Linked DNA regions of Danio rerio. The main gene of each other region encodes a partner of the protein of the gene in region 2 in a complex. Links are inferred from orthologs where the notes say so. Each region holds a gene or a part of one and is shown on either strand. Other genes may lie near its edges.

Evidence for each region.
Region 1: the proteins of adat3 (region 2) and adat2 are in contact, whole or in part, in a crystal structure (PDB 9HMM), measured with the Mus musculus proteins. The link is inferred for Danio rerio from reciprocal best matches to the Homo sapiens genes ADAT3 and ADAT2. Residues at the interface, in NP_001094076.1 of Mus musculus: Val217, Ala218, Pro220, Leu221, His223, Ile229, Asp230, Ala233, Gln236, Gly237, Glu270, Ser272, Pro274, Val276, Val290, Met291, Met294, Ala295, His298, Ala299, Pro311, Asp312, Leu318, Phe319, Val321, Arg324, Asp326, Leu327, Asn328, Pro349; in NP_080024.3 of Mus musculus: Val62, Asn63, Lys66, Asn67, Ala68, Thr69, His71, Met74, Ile77, Leu81, His85, Pro91, Cys107, Ile108, Met109, Ala112, Ala113, Leu116, Met117, Arg130, Phe131, Val137, Leu138, Ile140, Asp144, Leu145, Pro146, Asn147, Thr148.

The regions. Positions count from the first base shown.
Region 1 is NC_133195.1:41,038,081-41,042,704, reverse strand, and holds the start of adat2 (tRNA-specific adenosine deaminase 2), read left to right. Parts: upstream 1-1,801; 5' UTR 1,802-1,884; coding exon 1,885-1,977; intron 1,978-4,624. UniProt on the Homo sapiens protein: Probably participates in deamination of adenosine-34 to inosine in many tRNAs.
Region 2 is NC_133184.1:42,766,687-42,771,054, forward strand, and holds the start of adat3 (probable inactive tRNA-specific adenosine deaminase-like protein 3), read right to left. Parts: upstream 2,838-4,368; 5' UTR 2,780-2,837; exon of another isoform or gene 2,728-2,779; intron 2,516-2,727; exon of another isoform or gene 2,352-2,515; intron 1-2,351.

The DNA.
Region 1 (4,624 bases), on a different chromosome or scaffold from region 2:
AGTTGGCATTTCTGTGTGTAGCATGTTCTCCTCGTGTTCTCGTGGGTTTCCTCTGGGTGCTCCAGTTTCCCCCACAATCTAAAGACATGTGCTATAGGTGAATTGAATAAATTAAATTGGCCGTAGTGTATGTGTGCATGTCAGAGTGTATGATGAGTGTTTTCAAGTGCTAAGTTGCCTGCTGAAAGTGCATCCGCTGCGTAAAACATATGCTGGATAAGTTGGCGGTTCATTCCGCTGGGGCAACCCCTGATTAATAAAGGGACTAAGCTGAAAGAAATGACTGAATGAAAAAAAAAACAATAGGCGACACAGTGGTGCAGTGGGTAGCAAGATTGCATAAACTAAATTGGCCATAGTGTATCTAGTGAATGAGGATGTATGGATGTTTTCCAGTCTTGGGTTGCAGTCGGAAGGGCATCCACTGTGTAAAACATATGCTGGATAAGTTGGCGGTTCATTCTGCTGGGGCAACCTCTAATTAATAAAGAGACTAAGCCGAAAAGAAAATGAATGAATGAAAAAACAATATATGACAAACTACATAAAAATGAGAAATAATCTCACTTATAATCTTTAGATCCTCCCAGATTTCAAGTTTATTTGCTGGCCTGTAGAGAAAGACATGATCACTTGCGTCATTTATATTCTTTTACGTTTATAATGTAGTTAAGCTTCTACAACACACACACACACACACACACACACACACACACACACACACACACACACACACAAACACAAACACACACACACAAACACACACACAAACACACACACACACACACACACACACACACACACACACACACACACACACACACACACGTGCATAACTCACTTAGTCTTCAGCAAAGCAGTGAGACTCTCTGAGTTCAGGTGATGGATGATTGCCTCTCGGAGAGTGGGGAGCATTGATAACACTACAAAAAACAAATTACATACTCCATAAATAATTATAACAACATAAACATCAGTTATGGCGGTATTTAGTTTACCTGTCATGTTGCATGTCCTTTGGTTGCTTTCAAAATGAAACTGTCTCCGAGCTTGAGCAATGTATTCAGCTGCCTCTCGCTCCTGCATCTCCTGAATTTTTCTCTGTGCATATTTACCAAGCAGATAAACACCTGCAAATAAAAAGTTTGAGATTACAATATAGTATAGCATCCATGTTAACAAAGTGATATGCTGCAAGCAAGAACTATTCAGTTAAATAAAGCCTTTCTGTTGACTAAAAATACCAGGGCAAAGTCCATTTCAACTTTGATTTGACTATGCCAATAGAAAAACTAGGTGACAGGTGAACTGAGATTGAAGGGCTGAATGTGGAAAAAATATATAATGGTTGTCAACACTGTAATAACACGCTAAACTACACATCACATCATATTAACATGCTATAGCTACAAGTATTTTATTAAAAACAAGAAATAGTTACAGCTAGTGAACAGTCACTGATATGTATGCATGGATGAGGTTCAGTTGCCCACGTTAGTTACCTCCAACAAACACCCCAGTGAAGATGAATTTCCTCTTATGGCGTTTGATGAAATTCCATGTAGAACTCAACATTTTAACAGACTTGACACCGAAAATTAAAAGAAATAAGAGAAGCAAGAGCGGGTTTAGACGTAACTCACTAGCTAGCACAATGCTACATGGCAATAAGTTCTCATGTTAGCTGCAGACAGGCTAACTGCAGATAACAGATAGAGTCTATTCGGTCGATCGATTACTCGGTCTGTTCACCACCCTGAGGTGTCCATCGGTTATTACAGTCCTCCGTAAACACGTGCAGGGAAAACGCTGTTGTTTTTTATATTTGTGCTGACTTTACTTTATTTGTACGCTTACAAGTTTGTTATTGACACGTATATAGGGATGCAAGAAGTCGGTGTTGATCCCGAGAAGAATGATTTTCTGCAGCCCTCAGATAGTGAGGTACAAACATGGATGGCAAAGGCGTTTGATATGGTAAAGCTTCTTTGGTGTTTAACGTTTCTTTTATTGAGGTAAAGTTGGTTTTATATTAGGACATTCTGAATTTTTCCCTTAATAATATAATTTATTATAATATAAATTATAGTGGGTAGTGCTGTTGCCTCACAAGCATGAAGGTCGCTGGTTCAGTTGGCGTTTCTGTGTGGAGTTTGCACGTTCTCCCCGTGTTCGCGGAAAAAATACGTACTTTTAGAACCACTTTGCTTTTGGAACTGGAATTCCAGAAGGGAACAGACTTGACTGCTACACCGGGTTGCGCACCCCTGCCCTAAAATTCACTCCATCTGAAATGTTCATCTATTAACTAAAATTGATTAAAACAATAATAGTACTAGAGTTATGACAACAATGAGAGTGACTGAGTTGAGTTTCATTAATGGAACCCTTCCCATAGAGAAGATACATGGATAAATAGATCAATAAACTCACTTTAAATACAATGCCGATGAGATTAAGTAAATTGTGTAATGGGTGGTTTAGTTTAAACCAGCAACAACAATTTTATGTGTTCCATGTTACCTAAATGTCTGTTTAAAGCCCACCAAAAAGCCTAATTTTAGGCCACACTACAGTCATTACTATTATTTTACATTTATTTGTTAACCTAGCGCATTTAAAATTTGCTTAACTTCTTGTCCTTGTTTTATCCATCATAATAATAATTTTATGTTTTAATCAATTTAGATAAAAAAAAAAAAAAGAATTTTGACTGAGAATGTTAATGAAAGTCTATGAGGGAATGCATTTTGCGTCAGCGGTGTATTTCTCGGCACAACACTGGTTTCCCCCACAAGTCAGAAGACATGCTGTAGGTGAATTTGGTAAGCCAAATTGTCTGGAGTGTTTGTCTGTGAATGAGTGTATGGGTGTTTCCTAGCAATAGGTTGCATCACCTGCGTAAAAATATGCTGGATGAGTTGGTGGTTCCTTCCACTGTGGCGACCCCTAATTAATAAAGGGATTAAGCTGTAAAGAAAATGAATAAATGAATATCATCAGCCAATGACTATCAGAGCACAACAGTGCTCACTCACAGTCGATCAAATAGTGCTAATGTTGTTCTTAAGTCCTTTTTACATGTGGTTTCACACAGAATAAGAAAAATACCATGGTAAGCAATATAGGGATCGTGTCACAAGTTGGCACTAAACAAATGTACCAATGTAAAACCAACTTTACATTACCCTTAATGTTTCTTTTTCAGTATTCATCATGCCTACTGTCATATCCTCTTTTAGTTATTGCAGTACAAAGTTATAGTTACTGTGAAATCACAATAATTTAACTTGTTGCATTTGTTTTGGTCAAGTTAAAATATGCTTTAAGAAAGATATTAATACTAATTACAGTGTTTTTAAAATAGTTTTTTTTCCAAAGAATAATTATTGTCACTTGTCTTTGAAAGAGAAAAACTATTGTGTGTATTGTTATATGCAAATTATTATTTATTTTCTATGAAGACCATTTCAATGTGTTCATGTCATTGGCCCGTGAACATTTCCTGCTTGTTATCAAACTATTTCATAACTGTAACAAGAGGCAATTCAATCAAACCTTAATGTAAAACAGCTATCACAACATTATTTATCAATATGTGGCTCTTTTTGGATTCTCAGAAGCTATAGACCAATTACCATGTTTGTAAACATTCAGGATGCGCACGCAGGGAGGTGGCAGAAAAAAACGGGATTGCCAGCATTTACAGCGAGGGAATGACATCAGATGCGGTGCAGAGTTTGTTGTTGTCTTAGAAATAAAATGTATTACTTACACATTATATATATTATTTACATAATGCTTTCAGTATATTATAACAGCTCGTCACCCAGTGACAAGCACAGTGATTTGGCAAAATTAACGTTAAAGTGAGAGGCGTTTATCTGACAGGTCCATTTGCGATAGCACCCTCCCAATGAATATTGGATAAGACGAAGTGACCAAGCATCCAGCCCGAAATATACAATCTCATTGAAGCTCCAAGTGATTTTACAAGAGAGAAGTTAAAGGTCTACAAGTCTTTGGATGCCAACAATGTTGTTCTTTGTGGTCATGTGCAAGAAATAATGCTCCATGATGACCAGATTCAACACTGTATAGAGCTAAAAACTGAGATTCTGCTCAGCCAAAGACAAGCAAACAAGACGGAGCTAACATTATACAAGGCCTGGGTAATTAATCACCAACACGCAAAACGACTGCATTCTGACAGTGAACTTCACCTGTACGGCAGGGTATGTGAACACATAAAGGTAAAGTTGGTTTTATATTTGCACATTCAGACTTTCTCTTTAATAATATAATTTCATAAAAATATTATTTGTAAACTGTAAATAGCGAAATCATATTAGCAGCAGTCAATGACTATCAATATACAACATTGTTCACAGTCAAATAAACAGTGCTAATGTTGTTTTCAAGTCACACTTGCAGGTTATTTCAGACCGAATATTCAGAGTGCCGTGGTAAACAATATAGGGAGTTTGTCACAAGTTGTCACTGAATGAATGCGTGAATATAAAACTAAGTTTACCTTAATAAACATAACTTTCACGTTTCATGCTTAGCATTCAGTGTACGCAGTTTAATTAACCATATTTAACTGTTTTTGCTGAAGTCATTT
Region 2 (4,368 bases):
GTGAGAGCGCAGCTGGAGTCACGTGTGGATTAACAGTGTACGCGACGCTCGACAACAATAACTTACATGTCTAAGGAGGATTATTGTTTACCTGAGAGCTGTTCTCATCTGCAAACGCTGAGATCCGGATCTCTTGTAGTCTCCTCTTAATAAAGACGCGGCTCTAGTTGCTGGTGATTGTCCTGTCTCTACAGATTTGGTAAGTGAGTGACCAGTGCTCTCTGTTTATTCAGTTTGTTCGTATCTAAGTTAACTATTGCACCGAGTGTAAACATGTTAGCACCACAACCAAACTTTTACCTCATGTAGGATTTTCACCGCATTTGTGACCGGAATAACACAAACGGCTTTCTGACGCTACCTGCCGAGTGCATCTAAGTTTCCGTTAAATGCGGAGGGTGTTTATTCTCTTATTTGCTGTGCGGTATCAAACATTGCATGAAAAATATACGCTTACAGCAGTTCCTCGAATCAAATATCTCGTTTGTCGCGAGGGACATGAATGAATTCCCTGAATGAAAGAGCCAAACTGCAGTTAAAGTCCACTATTTAATAATTTGGCAAATAATTCGACTACAGATGTCCATGTAAACACAGTCACTTCGTCCCCTATGTGTGTGTGTGTTTTGACTCTGAAAGTCAGCTCCCACATTATGCCTCTTTTCTTCCTCCGACACTCCCCCCTAAACAAAGCTGGACACACCCACTTTTCTGACTTTTTCCAAAGTAGAGGTGTGAAAACACCCTGCTGAAACCTGAGTTTAAGACTCCAAATTGACTCAGGTTCAATACAGAAATGTATCTTAACTGATAATGAGGACAGAACAATTATTTTGCAGTATAAACTGTATTATTATATACTAGGTCTGGGAGATTTGGTTTAAAATCTAAATCTCGATTTATTGCATATTTAAACTCGATTTGATGAATAAATGATTATTTTATTTAGTTCACAGACAAATTTTGTACAGTAAAAATGCTCACATATTACAAATGAGAGACTTTTGAATGAAGGCTGCAATACTTGATTTTAAAATAATTGAAGGAAAGGGTGTCAAACTTAGTTCCTGGAGTGCCGCTGCCCTGCACAGTTTAGTTCCAACCCTGCTTCAACACACTGAAGCTGTGGTCACGTTGGACTTTTCTCCCCATAGACTTCCATTCATATGCAGGCGAACGCTTCAGACTGGAAACGCAAGCTTGTGTGTCAAGTTTCGCAGATCTTTTCTCTCTCTATCTCTCTCTCTTTTTTAATGTCTAATCATCTTGTTTAATCCTGCCCCTTACATCAGAAGCTGTACGACAGAATTTCGCACGCACAAACTCTAGTGTGACTGCAGCTTTAAGCTGCGGTCACACTGGGCTTTTCCTCCCATACACTTCCATTCATACGCACGTGAATGCGTCATACCAGAAACGCAGGGTCATGCCTTAAGTTTCGCAGGTTTGCAAGCTTGGTAAACTCTGACCTGAGAAACCTGTAGGTTTCAAACAAGCCTGAAGGACTCAATTAGTTGGATCAGGTGTGTTCAATTAGGGTTGAAACTAAACTGTGTGCAGAGCTGCGGCCCTCCAGGAACTGAGTTTGACACCTGTGCATTAAAATGTCCCGTTTCATCTTGTTTTTTTCCCTAAAAAAATACAGATTAAATACATGCACTCCAAGACATTCAGTGAACCAATACCATTTGAAAGCAAAACAAATCATTTAAATCTAATACAATGTATTTTTATCACTTACTATTTTAGATATTTTAATAAGTACAGGTCAGAATAAGTATGTTATTTCATCTTTAGATAAACCATTTGTTACGTTTATGACAACGAGACATCATTTAACCCATATTTTAACATTATACTTATGAAAAAGCTTACTTCACAAAAGTGGACACTTTATTTGCATCTAACGTTTATATAAATAATATAGAAATCCTGTATATGTCATTTTCTTGCTTCAACTATATGTTATAGTCATATTATAAGGTCACGCTTAATTTTGATGGCCCGTTTGTTGATTTTAAGTTACACTGCATCTACATCCCAACTAAGTTAATTTTCATTAGATTATAAGTAGACTGTTAGGTTAGGGTTAGTGTAAGTTGACATGTACTCGCAAAGTTTCTTATAGTCAGTTAAATGTCTGTTGAAGGAGCAGTATCAACAGATATTAAGCAGTCTACTAATACTCAAATGGACCATCAAAGTAAAGTGTTACCCATTATAATTCTATTTTTAACAAAGAAAATCTATATATTATGTATTTCTGTGTTTGTCCATAGTGTTTGTCCATATCAGACTGTCAACTTTCTAAACACAACACATGGACGCGGTACAATAGAGCATTAAGTTACCTTATTGGAAAAAGCAGTGGACGTCAACTATGCCAAAAAAACAAGTGATAATAATTATAAAAACAATGTTACAGCAGCCAAAGTACTTCAGAATACAACATCTCTTCCATGTGAGCTTTCGTTCCTCTTGTATTATTTTCCTACTCGAAACAAGCGTAAGCGATAATGGTTCCCGTGTTGAACTTTACTTATACTTTAAACAACGATATTATGATTAGCATATTTATTCATTCTTCAAACATACCATAGACTTAAAGTTATTTATTCAATATTGAAAAAAAATATCTAACATAATCTAACGGAACCCAAGTTGACCTGCTGTAAGTAGGACGTGTTTATATGTAACCTCTCTCTTCATACAGGCTCCTAAAACGAATAAAATGGTCCAAGAAACACCAGTTTTCCCCAATTGTTAAAGCGTATCTAACCTGTCAGGTTGTTGTTGAAGCAGTCAGTAAGTGCTCTACTATCGGTGTTAACAGCAGCATGTTTCAGAGTTGTCTGCCTGGAGCTCTGCGGTCCTGGAGCAGAAGAGTCTTCAGCACTTCAACGAGACCCAGGTTAGTTTTGGGGATCGAGACGAGCTGCGATGAGACCGGGGCGGCGGTGCTGGACGAGACCGGGAGGATTTTGGGTGAATCTCTGCATTCTCAGAAAGAGACACACCTGAAGTAAGTATAGTAGTCACAGCCTTCAGAAAACTCCTCAGTTGCTACAAAAACATGCAAAAATAACATGTTCAATAATTTAAAGGATTTTCAATGTTCTTGAGTTCACCAAAAATACATAATATATACCGCAAACAGTATTTGATTAATATTACTATATTATAACAGCATTTATTAATAGTTTGTATTATTATTTATTAATTAAATTATTAATTACAATTAACAATTGATTAATTAACAATAATTAATTTATTGTTCATTGTCATAGTTATTTTAGTTTTAGCTGTCTTATTTTTATTTCTGTTTTAGTACTTAAACCAATTATATTTTGTTTAGTTTTTTCATGCGTTATAGATGTGACCCAAAAAGTCTGCGAGTTTGCAGTATACAACATACTTTGTAGAAATTCTGTGAATATGAATATGAACTATGAACTGTGAACTATGTATATGTATATGAACTATGAACTGTGAACTATATATATATATATATATATATATATATATATATATATATATATATATATATATATATATATACATACACATACATACATACATACATACATATATATATGTATATATACATATATATATATATATATATGTATATATATATATATATATATATATATATATGTATGTATGTATATATATATATATATATATATATATATATATATATATATATAAAGAATTCACAATAACAATATATCATGTATATCATATATCATCGATTCTAAGTCTTTTTTTCACTTTAATTTGCTCGTAAGCTTACTACAAGCTCATGAATGCAAAAATGTTGCAGAGCAAACTGTTTCTTTGCTTTATCGCAGGCTGAATCTGCAGTGATTTAATATTAGAGGCAGCAACTGCACTTTAATCATCATGATCCACACAAAAGAGCAACATACATTCCCTTGAGTAGTTCATGATAAAAAATACCCCTTATAATTTCAAGATACTTAGACTGCAAACTCTCAAAAAGGATTTTTTTTAAAGCAAAGGGTGACTGAAAAATCCAAAAAAACATACAATCTGCCTCATATTTTAAACTAAAATCTGAAACGGTATAAACTTACTCTAATTCATGCTATGCGTGTGTTGTTCACTTAATAATGCTCTTCCAGAACGGGTGGAATTATCCCATTAGTGGCCCAACGCCTACACAGAGAAAACATCTCCAGAGTGGTCCAGGAGGCTCTTAACAGAAGTGCTATTGAACCCAGTGAACTCACAGCTGTGGCAACAACAGTAAAGCCTGGCCTTGCCCTCAGTCTTGGGATTGGTTTAGATTACAGCCTGAAGTTTGTGAGACAACACCAAAAGCCCTTCATCCCTATCCATCAT